Linked DNA regions of Struthio camelus. The protein of the gene in region 1 purifies or fractionates together with the protein of each later gene. This does not show direct contact. Links are inferred from orthologs where the notes say so. Each region holds a gene or a part of one and is shown in the gene's direction. Other genes may lie near its edges.

What was found. The genes of interacting proteins can lie anywhere in the genome.
Region 2: the proteins of CASP8 (region 1) and tumor necrosis factor receptor superfamily member 10A-like purify together in Homo sapiens (affinity purification with western blotting; 14 studies listed by BioGRID and IntAct, counting the BioPlex papers as one, with this or other methods). This does not show direct contact. The link is inferred for Struthio camelus from reciprocal best matches to the Homo sapiens genes CASP8 and TNFRSF10B.

Annotation. Positions count from the first base shown.
Region 1 is NC_090947.1:10,351,179-10,358,726, reverse strand, and holds the start of CASP8 (caspase-8), read left to right. Parts: upstream 1-2,138; 5' UTR 2,139-2,264; exon of another isoform or gene 2,265-2,475; intron 2,476-2,606; exon of another isoform or gene 2,607-7,072; 5' UTR 7,073-7,234; intron 7,235-7,451; exon of another isoform or gene 7,452-7,548. Other genes in the region: caspase-8-like, read left to right, coding at 115-604, 1,483-1,633. UniProt on the Homo sapiens protein: Thiol protease that plays a key role in programmed cell death by acting as a molecular switch for apoptosis, necroptosis and pyroptosis, and is required to prevent tissue damage during embryonic development and adulthood.
Region 2 is NC_090968.1:5,190,638-5,198,185, forward strand, and holds the start of tumor necrosis factor receptor superfamily member 10A-like, read left to right. Parts: upstream 1-3,588; 5' UTR 3,589-7,081; coding exon 7,082-7,411; intron 7,412-7,548. UniProt on the Homo sapiens protein: Receptor for the cytotoxic ligand TNFSF10/TRAIL. The adapter molecule FADD recruits caspase-8 to the activated receptor.

The DNA of each region.
Region 1 (7,548 bases):
GTGGGATCTGAATGCTTCTGCCAGTATCTATCCTACCACACAGAGCCTTCAGTTTCCTCATCTTCCTTATCACTGTTCATGTTTAACAAGTGCCTTCCAACTTTCTTTTTACAGAGGCGCTGAAGAGAGTCTTTAAGTGGCTTCAATTTGAGACAGTTGAGTACATGGATCTAGAAGCAAACCAAATGTATGCAAAAGTTAAAGAATACAGCAAGAAAGATCATAGCAAAATGGACTGTTTTGTTTGCTTCGTCCTTTCACATGGTGAAAAAGACAAAATAAAAGGCGTTGATGGGGAGTTTGTAAATATTAAAGATTTGCTCTCTTGCTTTAGTGGATCTAACTGTCCTTCTCTTGCTGGAAAACCCAAGCTGTTTTTCATCCAGGCTTGCCAAGGGTCTGTAGGTCATCCAGCTGTCACATTAAAAGAAGACTTTTCTGACCATCTTGAGACAGACGCTGTTCCTCTGGTTTCCATTCCCGACCAGGCTGATATTCTGGTTGGCATGGCTACTGTGGAAGACTTTGAGTGCTACCGCCACGCAAAGACAGGCAGTATTTACATTCAGTGCCTCTGTGACAAAATGGAGTTGCTTTGCCCACTGTAAGTACTGTTTTTAACCCAGGTACAACTGGGGTATTGTTGAAATACATACTTAAGCATGCTGTGCTGAAACATGGCTGTTTTGCATTTGCTCTATATAATGCTTTTCACCTGCAGAGCAGTGTCTGCTTAGTAATTATTCCGGAAGTGGGCACTGTTATTTTTCTTCTACAGATGAAGCAAAGTTCAAGTGACTTACCTAGTTTGTCTGTTACGGAACCAGAATTGTAATGTTGGAACATTACATATAAGCAAGTTTGTGTTTATATATTTGAACACACATCATCAAGTGTGTAAAACATAAAAAGCATGTAAAACAAGTGTGTAAACAAGTGTTTAATACATAAAAACAAGTGTGAACATGTTGTTTTAATGTATCTTTAAAATGACAAGGGATCTTTCTTCCAGTGACACCTGATGACAGGCAAATTTGTTGCTTGAGTACACAGGCAAAAAATTAGTACCCTTTATTCGTACTTTTCCCTGTTTCCTCGCCCATGTCCACCTCCCAACCCTAAACTTGATTTAGAAAATAACATTTCTCTCCAGGCACCGCTTTCTCGTGAAGTCCAGCGGACGGCTTGGAAAATGCATAAATTTGCTTCTGTGTCATCTTAGTGCTGTCTTTTGACCATAACCAAGGTAAAGGAGTGTGTTTGTTTGTAAAGTGATTCTACACAGAGGTTACTTTATTCCCCAGTACATACTGAATGCTGTGATTACACAACAGAGCGCGCAATTTCAGTGACAGACAGGATGACGGGAAGATACCAACATTCCCCAAGATCTCATGTTATTGGAGTAAACATAGGTCAACTTCTTGGCCTAGTTGAAAGTACCATGTATTTCAATGTACCTTTTCTTCATGTTTGTTCAAGGCGCAAGGACCTGGTAACCATCCTGACAGAAGTGAACAAGGAAGTGGGAAGAGCAGTACTAAATGGATGGAAGCAGATGCCAAAGATATCATCAACCCTAAGGAAGCAGTTGATCTTCCAAATTCCACAGTCCCAGTCAACTGAAAATTAGAAAAATAAGGACACGGTCAATTAGGAATCACTCTGGAAGGCGTCTCCTCATGGAATTCAAGAGAATTTGCAAGAGGAATTATCTGCATCTATGTAGTTAGTTCACAATCCTGCAAGGGGCCGCGTGGCCTCAATTTTCTGATTCCCATGCTTATTCAGTCTCCTGGCACCTGAGTTTGTAGCAGCCTAGTAGAGCAGGGGAGAAGTACGGACCTGCTTTCCTGTCCTGCAGAAGCAGTGTAGTCTGTTCAGTCCTTGTTTCGAGTGAGGAAGCATTTCCGAGCAGTATGATTCTTAAGCGTTGTTGGAAATGTCAGTGGAAATACTATTTTCAGTCTGTGTTGTTAAGAGAATACATCCTTGAAATCTGAAGAAAACAGCAATTAGATGCAGAGTGCAAGGATCGCTTCCCAGGGAGTCCAAGTAAGGTTTTAACAGATACATCAGCAGTGAATCATGGGCTATCTGGAAGCTGTATTCTTCACAAAAAATAATGTCTCTGCCAAGAAGGACCAAAAAGAGGTGGTGATGACAACAATCATGATACAAGTCTGCACTTCTCTGATTCTTTCCCTCCAAAGTTTTATTTGCTTCCTGTTATTAATTAACTCAGTTAAAAAGCACTGAGATTTGTAAGTTTTTTTTGATAATATGGGTTCTGATTGTGGTTTGTTTTTTTTTTTCTTGGCGCGCTTAAGGGCAGTCTGTATTGAATAACTGTCAGACATGTGGAAGGAAGGTCTCACTCCTTTAGAACCACAGTTCTGAGATGGCTTCCCCTCCTGGCAACTGACTCTAGGTGCCATGGGCTTTTTGTAATAAATACGCCTGGTTTCTCTGTCACCCTTGTCACTGTGGTATTTCTCGGATGAGTTGACTGAGGCATGTTCAGCATGACAAACACCTTGCTTCTTCTGGAAAAGTTATCTTTGCTCTCATTGAAGTGTTCTATGGCAGTCACCCTGGGAGGTGGCAGATTGATATCCCTTCTTTAGCAAATGGAGAAATGGTAGAGAAGAGTGAGCTAAAATTCAGGACTTTCATGGTTGTATCAGCTGCTGCGAGTAAAGCTCATTTTTTTTCTTGCATCTTTCAGCAATGAGTAGTGGCTTAGGGGAGCTGTGTGGGATTCTAAAGGCTGCATCCTTTTTGAGCTTTACAACAAGGTAAAGGATGGATCTGAGACATTTCCTAACTTCTGCTTGTTTTAGATTAAATTTCTCGGAGATCACGTCTAAGCTATAATACAGGGGTTCTTCACTCGATCATGCTTGTGTTCTTGGTGTGAGACTTTTTTTTTCCCCCCCCTTAATTCCAGGCAACGTGTCGGCAGTTGCATTTTGCTCCGCTTAATCTTTTTCACCTCCCAAGTAAAAGGGAGAATGTCCATTCCTAGAATTACAGCTTTGTTCATACAGGTTTCATACATAGTAAATAGAAGTTACAACCACTATGTAAATGAGTGTGGTGTTTGTGGCAAATATTTGCTGAAAGTGTTGTTAGTTACGGTGCAGTTTTGTGGTTGACATTTGGTAAACCATTTAATGAAACATCTAGCATCAATTTATTTACCTTCTTATAGTGTTTTCATAAATGAGGCCCTGCTATGAAGTTAGTAGTTAGATTTGTGAATGTTTTATGGTACAGAAATGAAGCTTAAACAGGGTAACTGCATCCTCTGGGAGAAACTTACTAGAAGATGACGGCTAAGATTGAGAAAATGTCATTGGTGAACTTGTGCATCTGCAGTATTTCTTTTTCTTCATATTACTTCCCCCATCATCAGCCTTGCATGGTGTTTTGTTCTACCTATTAAGCTGTGACCACTCATCTCCACAGCCAGTGTTATTGCCTGCTCATGAAGAGCCACTAAAAGAGAAAAAAGCCAGTGAAAATCCTCTAAAGCAGTAGTTCTCTTGTACCAATGAACTGTTGCCTCATAGTCAGGCTTATGAGTTACTATGAACAGGTAAGCAAATCAAGCAAGTCCAAATGAGCAAAGAAGTAAAAGGGCTTATCTCTGAAAGCACCCAGGTTAATATTTGCAGTTAATTTCATTAATGTCTCAGAAGGCATCTCTAGCTTGTACAAAAGGCATACTTGCAATGAAAACTTAAGTGTTTTCCTTATCAGTTTTTTTTAACATTGGTTTGTGCTACTGACTGTATTGCAGTGTTTTTCTAAGACCAGAGAAAGGTCAAGGAAAGTGAGGTGGGGGTGGAAGAAGGGGGAAATGTGTTAGGAGCTAATGTATTGGGAGGATAATGAGAAAAGAAAGTGATTGTGGCCATACAGACAAGGACTGGTGGCAGAGAAGAATGCCTGTAGTCTGTTCTTGGACACACTGTTGGATTCGGCTGTTCTGTCCATGTCCAGGCACAGCAACGAGAATTAGGAGCTTTGGTTCTTACAGGCCTTGAACTCTGGCACTGACACGATCTGTTTTCGTCCCCTTTGCCTCATGCATATTGAAATATTCCATCAAGAATAAGTTACGAAAAGAATCATAGTTGCAAGCCGTTGCAGGAAGCAGCCATACTAGGAATTTGTATGCCCACTGTGGCTCGTGCAGTGATCAGGGAGAAAACGCACTCTCAATTCTGTGGTCTTGAGCAAAGTATGATTCACAGACTCCTATGGGAGATTGGCTGATAAGTCTTTGCACATACTTGTGGCCCTCCCTGTAGGACTGAGGCAAGCCCCCTAGGACTGTTTGGCTCTACAGTTTTCGGGCTCTGTTTTTCCTCTTTCTCTACCTTTTCTGATAGCAGAGCTTGGAGAATAGTGAGCAGCCATTTCCTCTCCTCTGCAAAGGTCCTCAGCTACAGTTATTCACCTGTCTTCTGTTTTCTTTGACTCCTGGCGGGCAGGCCAAATGCTATAGTAAAACAATGCTGGCACTCAAGTCTGTGTTTGTTTGCAGCCAGCAGAAGTATCATCACTAGAAAGTGGAGTCAGAAAGTTGGTAGGAAAGTGAGGCCAGTGAGTTGAAGACCTACAGGCTTAAGCTGAAATCAGACAAGATCAAAGTGATGCTGTTTGAAAAGGAGAGAAGAGTTGGGGAGGATCACTGTCTGCAAAGGCAGAAACAGTGTTACTGGGTGATGTGAATCCCTGCCCTGTCATTTGCATCTTGTTACGTATTTGTTCAGTTTAATCCCTGAGAGCTGTTTGTGCCCGCCTTCCCTGGTGAGTTTGTCATTCTCTCCACTGAAAAGGTCTTTCGTGACCTGTCGTTCATCACCCACTGGCAGGATGGATTCCTGGCATGTGTGAGGAGCCTGCTTGTGTTGTGGATGCTGCCTGCTTTCTCCCATGGCACTGGCTGCTGAAATACATGTTTTCCCACTGGTTCCCACTGCCTGTATAAGGGTTCACTCTCAAATCGGTGAAAAGTTCAGCTACTGAAGAATTTTGATTAAAATAGTTGTTATGTCTGTGGTCTGTAACATCTCCTGCAGGGAATCTCGAAGCCCAGAGAGGGCGTTGAAACAAAATGCCCCCGGTTTAGGAGATCCAGCTGTGCAGCAGCGAGCTAGATTGTCCTGATTGTCAGTGTTCAGCCCTTGCTGATGGCCTTTTTGTTTGTTTGTTTTTGAGGTAACTAACGTGGTGACACGCTATCAAAAAATTATTCAGCTCTACCTCTTTCTAGCTAGAGAAAGAGATATATCAAATTATGAACGGAGAACAGCATGTTTAGTCTGAAATGACTTCTGTGCAATGCGTTAAAAAACTATGGTTTAGATCTTTGGGAATTCCCACATACTCATTTCTGTGTTTTCCTTCTGTAACTGTACCTTTACTTATCACTGTATCTATTCTATTATTGACAGCCATGGAAATTCCCCAGGCCCCTGAGGTGACTGGCTCTTGTGGGTGCAAAATGTAATACCTTCTAACTAGTGGAAAGTTCTTCTGTATGTTTCTTCTGAGCTTGGCTTGTGTCTTTTACACTAGTCTTACGTTTGTGTAACTGCTTCATGCTCAGGCCTGATTTATACAGGTATATCGGATCCATACCTCCTTCAGACTGTTTACTAGAAAAAGCTTGTTTTAACTACATGACTTGGGGCAGGTTAGCTCCTGGGCTGTTTAAAGGGTGTCTTGTCATTTTCAGATTACTTCCACTTTTGACCCAATATGCCATGCGTACAGTAATCAAATATCTTGTGTAGGGTTTTGAACATTAATAAGCCAACCTCTAGGATAACAACAGAAATATTTCTCCCTTATATATTGCTATAGCAGACATAGCAGACTCTGTGTTTTGGGGAAAGGAGTCTGTTTTTAAATCCAGTACAGCATTCAGTGAGCACACTTTGTTTCTTTATTTGGGGAGTATGGATAGTCTCAGAGTGGCTCTCCTGCTCATAGTGAGTGCTAATGTGTTGATGTTCCGTTTCAGAAGGCTGAAACTCCTTCTGGGTAAGATCTCCTCCCTCGTATTGTGGTGAAATACCATGGATCCTCTATTGGATCAGAAGGTGTAACAGAGGTGTAGCACTATCCCAGGGGCTCACACCATTGCCCTGCGTTCCTGTGAGCTGCTCCTGTTGCTAAAAGGTTCTTTAACGGATCTTGAGGGTTGGGAAGGGAGCTGACACAACAGTCAGTGCCTGTCAGGGTACAGGATTGAACATCTGGCTTAAGTGTGCAGCATTTCCTGTCAACAACCTGCAAACTGCTCACAATGAGGAAGTCAAGTAAATAACTTTCTGACGTGTTTTTCTGTTTTGTATTAAAATGGGAATGGATTGTTAGTGTCTCTAGACTAAAGAGAGGCAATTGTAGCAAAAGCCAAGACAGAACAACAACTCTGTACCTACAGAAGTAAGCTGTTTTCTCAAAAGTGGGCTTAGAACTATTTTCTTTTTTCCCCTGTCGAAGATACCCTTGGGATGCATGTGAAAATAATGAAGTGGCTGAGAAAAGCTTTTATTTAAAAAAAAGTTTTGATTGGAGATAAAGATTGGCGATAACTAGTAAGATGGTATCTTATTTTGTCTGCTCAAACCTTAAAATGCCACACGGGCAATTAATTTTGAAATGGTCTCAGCACATACTTTTTATTAACTATTTGAAAATAGAGTTAGAAGTCTTTCATTTGCCTCCCCCGTTAGTTTCCGCTTACTGATTTCAGTGAAAGGCTGTGTGAATTTCATGAAACAAAAATACAAGAGTTCAAAAAAAGCAGGGTGCAGCGTTTATGTTAAAAAGACTGCAGCATGTCATGTTTTGCATGTGGTATGAAATCGACCCTGGAACTTAAGTATCACTTCTTCTGCCAGTAGCACGCTTATTTTTGAAGCTGTGTGAGAAATCCCTTCATTTAAAAAAAGCATCTATCCAGTGTGGGCTTTTTTTCTACAGCAAAGTGGCGTGTAATATTATTTCATGGTAGTTGGATAAGAGTTTTGAAAAAAATGTGTCTTCCTAGGCCAAACGGAAGAAAGCGCTTGGTAAGTGGCCTGTGATGACACAGCTGTTTTTGCGCAGAGGAAGCGGACTCCCTCAAGATCAGCGCCGGAGGCGATTTGCTCTGATTGCATCAGCGACACCCACAGCACTCCGTTCTTCACGTTGTTGTATGAATTTTACAGTAAGAATTTTCTACTTAAGTTTTTTTGAACAGTTGGTGCTTCATAACTGCAAACTGAGAGGGCCTAAAACACGTCTGAGAGAAGTCAGCTGTGGCAGACACACAGTGTTACCTTAGAAAGCTAGAGGGGTTGGTTTTGCTTTGGTTTTTCCTGGCCCTGGGGAGTTCTGGGGATTGGAGTAGCTGTTGAATTCAGAGGCCACGAGCCACTTGAACTACTCTGCCTGTGCCTGCGAGGCCATCCTGTTAATGTCGGGGGGGGGGGAGGGGGGGGAGGGAGAGAAGATCATGAAGACGGGACCCTCCCAGGGAAA
Region 2 (7,548 bases), on another chromosome or scaffold:
TTTATGTTCCACTTGCAATAGAGCTGCGGAAGCAGGGCGAAACTCGGCATCACAAAACTGCGGTGGGTCCCCCCCGGCTTCTCCATGCACTTCGTTTACGCCCGCCGCTGCTCTTGTGGTGCAATCTCCCCGGCTTCTGAACGGTTCCTGCTTCAGACGGAGCTGCGGAGACGGGGAGGCCTGCGGCGATAAGGCCTGGGGGAGTGACAGGGGGCCTGTCTGTGAGTGATAAAAACACCCCTCTCCCGCCTGAGACCGGTGCCTCGTCTGCAAATGGGCCTTAAATGGAAATGCTCTGCGTGCCAGCTCTGTGCATGGCTGCAGCCAAGCAGTGGAAATTCTTGCTTGGCGGGTGAATGACGTTACCGGCCCTGGGAGTCCCACCCGGCGCTGCAGCATCTGGCTGGGATGGGGCTGGGGAGTGGGAGAAGGCTCACATCACTCAACTCGCTCATTAGCTTAAATACCCACGGCACAGCAGAAAGCCGTCTTTGCTCAGAGCTGTGGAAAAGCTGTGGTTTGTCAGCACAGATAACTCCATTAGTCCAATTGTATAAACAGAGAGAGTGAGACAGATGGACAAAGAACTGCAGCTTCGCAACAAGTGTTTGGCAGAACGGGATTAGGCCTTGGGGTCTCGGTGCTGAAGGTTGTTCTCACCCTGCTGAGGTGCACCTGAGGGCACAGTGTACATTATTGGGCAAACTGGGAAGCAGCAGTTCTAAAATATGTTCTCACTTCTGCATCCCCTTGCCCCATGTGCAGCCTCCTGCCCATATGGATTTATGCGATCCCATAAATGCCCCATAAATGGCAAGTCCCATAAATGGCGTCAGGTTGGTTTTTTTGGAGAGTAGACAGACAGGGTCCTTCACAGTCCCGCTGGATACAGCCAGGGTGCCGTATCGCACAAAGGCCAGGCATGGCCATCTGAAGTTGCAAATGCAGTAAGGCTGTTAAATAGCATTTATTCTGACCTAACTGAAAAATGAGTTGTTCTCTAAGGCCCTGAATCACTTGAGCTGAAGTCAGTGGTATCTAGAACACAGAACACATGGTTTTGGTTAAACAAAAGGCCCTGCATACTTTTGGGGCCTGTCATATAACTACCCACCCAGGAAACAACCAGGAATTCCTGATCTACTTTAAATCATACTTCAGCTTAATTATTTTCTGTGTAGACAGGCCCTAACTTCTGCAAGGAGAAAACTAGGTTTCCATGGCATGGCACAGCTGGTTGCAGAAACGCTCACTCTCTCAAGAGTTCAGTGCCCAAAGGGGAGATGCTTCCCAAATATCCGTGGCCCGAGCGTGGACACTGCTGGTCTGCTTGGATCCAAGGAGCCTTCCTTGCAGGCTGCCTCCCTGCAAAGCTCTGGAGATGCTGAAGATGCCACTGAACTGGTCAGCAGCCCTGTTTTCATCCAAATTTTCAGTGCACTGAGCCACTTCCATGAAGAGCAGCTTTTCCTGCGGAGCGGCCAACCTCCTCTGAGCCTTGTCACCCAGTTGCAGGCTCTCACCCACAGTTGCTCTTCCTGGGCCTGGACTTGAAAAAGGATCAGTCACTCAAGAGTTACTGCTGGGGCAACTACATGCCCAGCCTCCGGTGAGTCACATCCCCACATGCATCCCGGCTAGGGCTGTAACAGCATTTCTCAGGGAGGGAGCATTTTCCAAAGCCCTGGGCTATTGAATGCAGCTAACACAAACCGAGCCCTAAGTTCAAGTCTGGTACGGAGTCTAGGAAAAGATTAACAGGTCACAGCTCCTCCATCTCTCCATCTCGGCTTTGTTTCGGTGGAGTAGTTTGTCCCACTCGCTATCCAAATGAGCTCACTGCAGAAGGGCTAGCGGTGTAATGGCACAAAGTCCAAAGGTTTTCCTTTCTTATTTTTTTTTTCTTTGGGCTCAAGCCTGCAGAAAACCGCGTGGAATTTCCCCACTTTCCAGCTCAGAGGCAAAAGTTAGGGAGGAGGGGTTTTGAAGGAGGGGTGAGGGTTTTTGCTGAGCCGCACCACAGCCCACAGGGCGGCTTTGCACCTCGTGCCCGGCCACCGGCCCCTCCAGGAGCCTTTTGCGTCTTCCTGTAAACTCCGTGCTCCTCGCTGGGATTTCTTGGAAGCAGGAGGGGATATTTATGTAACTCCATTTTCCCCGTAAAACATATATTCTTGCTCACTTGAGGTTTAGACGCTGCTATGATGGGGGGGGGGAACAAGCTGAGAAAGCAAAAGGTGTCAATGAAAAGCCCCTCGCAGAAGCATTCGTGAGGGCGCTTGTCTGATCTGGAGGCTTGAAAACCAGCCGTAACTATTTTCCCCGACACACCCCCCCCCCCCACCCATCCACCCACCAACACGAAAGCGCTAAAAAATGAAAGTTCCGCGGCAAGCCGGGCGGGTTCAGTTTTCGGCCCGGCCAGTGAAGCTGTTAACAAAAGCCGTGCTGAAACCTCCGTGCGGCTTCCGAGCGGCGGCGGCGGCGGCGGCGGGGCCAAGCGTGCGCGGGATGGAGGGGGGGGCAGCACGGGCCAGCCAGCCGGCCGGCCCCCTTCCTCCTCCTCCTCCTCCTCCCGGCCCGGCCCACATCGCGTATTTAAGCCGGCCGCCGGCCGCGTTGCGGGAGAGTGAGCGCACCGGGGGCGACCCGGAGCCGACCCGGAGCTCAGCCGAGCCGCCCCGACCCGGAGCCGGCCCCGCTCCCGCGCACGATGCGCGGCGCGCCCCGACGGCGCTGCCGCCTCCTCCGCCTCCTCCTCTTCCTCCTCCTGCTGCTGCCGCCGCCGGTGTGTGGGGTCCGGGGGGGGGGGGGGGCGCCGGGCGCCGCCGCGGCATGTCCGGGCTTGCTGCGCCGTCGGGGCCCGGCAAGGGGTTGGCGGCTCCCCCTTCACGGGAGTTACTGGGGGGGGGCGCAGAGGGTGGCTGGGGGGGGGCAGCGGGCGGAGGGGGGTCGTAGGGGCTGGAGGGGGAGCAGTGGGCGGAGGGGGGGTCGTAGGGGCTAAGGGAGGGGGCTCCCGGGGGCAGCGGGGGGGGCTCACCTGTACGGGGGGGCAGGGGCTGGGGGGGGCTCACCTGTATGGGGGGGGCTCCCAGGGGCCGTGTGGGGGACTCTTGGGGGGTTATGGGGGGGCTCACCTGTACGGGGGGAGGCTCCCGGGGGGTTATGGGGGGGCTCACCTGTACGGGGGGAGGCTCCCGGGGGGTTATGGGGGGGCTCACCTGTACGGGGGGAGGCTCCCAGGGGCTGTGGGGGGGGCTCACCTGTTTGAGGGGGAGGCTCCTAGGGGGTTATGGGGGGCTCACCTGTATGGGGGGAGGAGGCTCCTAGGGGGTTATGGGGGGCTCCTAGGGGCTGTGGGGGGGGCTCACCTGTATGGGGGGGAGGCTCCAAGAGGCTATGGGGAGGCTCCTGGGGGTTATGGGGAGCAGGGGCCATGGGGGGCTCACCTCTATGAGGAGGGGGCTCCCCTGGTGTGTGGGCTATGGGAAAGGCATGGGGGTTTCCCTGGCCCAGGGGCTATGGGGGCTCCCCTGGAGAGCTTGGGGGGGGGCTGCAGGGGGCTCCGCAGGAGGCTCGTAGGGGAGCAGGGACACGTGGGGCAGGGCGGAGGCGGGAGCGCGTTCCCAGCCCGCCGGGGCGCGGGGAATGGGCACGTGCGCCCGCGCGTGGGGCGGCCGGAGGACTGGAGGGGATTTCCACTTCCTCGCTTCCAACGGCATTGTTTGCCGTTCCGGGTCGGGATCTTGCGGCGACACCGAGTCCGTGCGGACGTTCGCGCCACGTGAACGCAGCGGGACGTTCGGAAGTGTCCGGGCTCTGCTGCGGGCCCTTCTGTGCCGTCTCGTGTGGGGATATGTGATTTTAGACTTCCCCAACGGCAGTCTGACTCCTTAGCGTTGGTGACTTTTAGGATAGAAACTCCCACCCGCCCATACTGTATTTCTTGGGTTGGAGGTGGCTATAGCTCGGAGAGGTGCCCAAAGTCTCGTGTCGCCTGCAGTCAGTGGGAACCCTGTCCCGAGGATCCCGGGACTGGCCCCGATTCCTGCCGTGGCGCAGGAGCGGCTCTGGGACGCGTGGTTGCTGTTTGCCTGCTGGAATTGCTGCCGCTGAAATCGGCGCTGCCTGTAACAGGTTTTTAAGTGCCTCATCTTCTCCGGTCCCTTCCCGTGCTGTTTCTGTGAGTTGCACAGGTTAGGTGATCCCTTCTTGAGTCTCCCTGCTCTTTGCTTAGACTTGCCTGTATAGGCAATAGCCTTACCGACCCCATCACCTACAGGCCTGCTCTTACTGGACTTGTTTTCTTTTATAAAAAATAAAAATAAAAAGGGAGGGAGAACTGATCAGGACTGATGTTGGCCCACGTGATAATCATACGATATTATGGCTGCAAGTTGCTTCCTCTGCACACCATGGCTTGTTGCATCATGCCTGGACACGGGCCACAGGCTCGTGAAGAAGAAATCCTCCGAATTTCTGTATTTGCGGGAGCTCGAATTCCATCCACATAAGGTCTGCAGGGAAACCCCAAGTTCAGCAAACTTATTCCCTTGGAGCAGAGGCGTGTCAGTTGTCTGTGAAGTCTCTCTCTCACTCCTTGTTCCTTAACACTGTTGGTGCTCTGGGATTAAGAGCCTCACTCCCTACATCAAGGGTTGACATGGTTATTAATACTGTCTAGATGCTTTGTGGTGGTCAGGAGTTCAGTTTGTGGGCTATCTGCTGCCATAATGGTTTGATTCCTTCCTTGGGATCACTTCAGGAGGAAACCAGAAATCGGTGGTAGAGGAGAGAAGGTTCAAAGATCGGCACTTCCCAAAAAGTCTTCTCCAGGTCTGATCATCCAGACCGAATAGAAAGAGGGGTTTAAATTCATGGTCGATGAGGATATTGGAAATTACTATGACTGATCATTCTTCAGCTTTGGGGCAGCATTACTTTCTTTGGATGTTTGCTACGGGTGAAAAGTACTCTTGAATACCATTGCTTGCGTTGAACTTGACCTCCCTATGCAACTTGCTTTAAAACTGGCTTTTGCAGTGATAAAATAGCTGCCTGTGCTGGAATTGATCAGGCAAGTCTTCTGATGCTGGGACAAGCTGAAGTGTGGCTGTATTTCTTTCTCCCTAGGCTTTTTTTTAAAACCTCTTCTGTGATCTAGGCAGGGTCCTTCCCTCTGTTTTTAAGTTAAAGATTTTTTTGGATTGTTTTGCTGTTTTTTGGTGAGTTCCTCCGTCTCCTGGCAAGTTAGCTGTGCAATTAAAGGCTGAAGGTGAGGCCACCCGGCCCAAGGAAGATGGAGGTTTGCCCCTGGATTGCCACAGTGACTTGCCAGCAGGGAGGGCCAGGTCTAGAGGTTATCATAATCCTAGGGTGAAGTTAGTGCTGGTTGCAAGTGTCCTGTTAGCACCTTGCAGTGGGTGTTGGACTGGGTTTCTCCAGGGCCAAGGTATGTTGTGGTGGTGTCTGGCCTCTGGTTATCAGTATTTTGGAGCAGGCAAGGGTAAGAGCTGGCGGAAAGCATCATAGGACACACGCTTGGAGCAGAAGGGTCCAGGCTCTGCTATGGGCATGCAGCGACTCTCTGAACCCCTTTTTGCCCGTTTCCTGGACTGTAAAACTGAGGCCACCTTTTGCCTGTGGCTCCTAGGCTGGCTTATCTCAGTGCTTTGCAAAACTGATAGGTTAGATTCCTACCTGCAAAGGGCTCTGTCAGGACGATGTACTTGAACTGCATTTGCTCTTGAAGGTGGTGTGGGCTGATAACCTTATCATGCACTTGTGCAAGCTCAGGGAGAGCACTGAAATCCTGTGCCTGAGGGGCCCTCTGAAACAACAGATGTTGTTGCTGTGGTTGCCTTCACGGCTTGGCAGGAAAACTTTCTTGCCCATGAGGGCAGTCAGGCAGTGGGACAGGTTGCCCAGGGAGGTTGTGCAGTCTCTGTTCTCGGGGGCTTTCAAGGCCAGAATGGGTAAAGCCCTGAGAACTGCAGAGGGTAAAACAACTTGTGACTGGAAGGTAAAAGCTGAGTTGTCTCCTAAGTTGGATGCAAAAGGAGTTTATAATAACTTTATAATAAACTCTGGGAGGCAGCCAGCAGGAGATCTGCACCTGTACTTTGCAAAACCCCAAATGCTATAGAGCTGGTAGTTGTGTTCGTGCTCTTTCTTACGGTTGGGATATTTGTCTGCATGAGGCCTGAGTTTCTTTGCTTTTTTTCTGCGCTGTCTGGATTAGCAGCGTGCCAGCTCTAGGATCCCAGTCCTGCGCTGAGGTCCAGCTTCCTCTTCTTGCTTCCTGCCTTTAACCGTGTAGCTACCCAGAGCTCTTTAAGCAGCTGTGACACCCCAGGGGAGGTGGGAAGTTCAAGTTCCCGATGAACTGTGTTATCTAAAGCTCGGGTAACACTAATGCAGTCTGAAGGAGGTGGAGGAACCGTTGCAGGGCTCTGAGTTGGATTACTCCAAGCCAGGGTCTGGAGATGGCCATATGCCCAGGCTGGCCATGGCTGGGGGGTTTGTGCCTCTCTGGCTCCCCATGTTGCGGCATGCGGGGCGAGAGGGACCATCTCTGGCCAGTGCTCCTGGAGGTAATGGAGGGGAATCGTGGCTTGTGGGCAGGCTGGTCTGAGGAACCTTTTTTTTGTGGGTGCTGTGCTGAGACCCTCAAGCCTGCTGCGGCTGGCTTTGCGCTCACACCCTTCCTCGCAGCGCGCTGGCTGCCGGAGGAGGAGGGGATGTGGCTCGGGAGGTGGTGCGGCTGACTCAGACAGTGTACTGCTTGTGCTTCTATTGTCTCCACCGTTCTTTCGAGGCAGCTTCTGACTCATAGAAGAAATATTTGTTTCAGGAGGCAGGTTTCGGGCTGGCTTGGAGTATAGAACTAGAAAGGGAAATGGCTATTGCCACACAGTCGCTGCTGTGCTGCCCCATGCATGGCATGGGAGGGGACTGCCCCTCTCGGCTCAGGCTTCTGTCCTTCTACCTGGCTTTGCAAAGGGACAGAGGCTGGTTTGTGTCCATTTGGCCTCCTGACACAGTGCTAACTTGTGCCCAGTGCTGAAAAGTGCTGGGTGTGATGCTGAGTGGTCCTTTCCCATGCTGGCACAGGGGTGGTGGTCACAGCCAGAAGTCAGGGTGCACCCAAAACCGTGATGGAGAGAGTGGCCGTTCCTGTCCAGCCTTGTCCCTCCACGGCTTGAGTGATCGAGCAGATGCAGAAAGAGCTGAGCCAGCAGAAAGGTGTGCAGTGAGCTGGAGGAAATGGGGCCATGGGCTTCCTGATCCTCAGCGAGATACAGGGGACAATACGGAAATGCTCAAGGCTGCACTGTCCTCTGGAAGACCACGAGGCAGAAGTGCCCACAAGAAACAGCGGGGCTGCGACGAGCCAAGCACCAGCCTTGACGTATGGCTGCCTTCCTCCCCAAAAACACCCTTTCTGTTCCTCTTCCCTCCCCACTCGGTAACATTCAGTCTTCTTTGGTACGGTTGGTTCATGTGCCCAGAAATTGGGGAAGGAAGGGGGTCCTGATGTTATCCTAA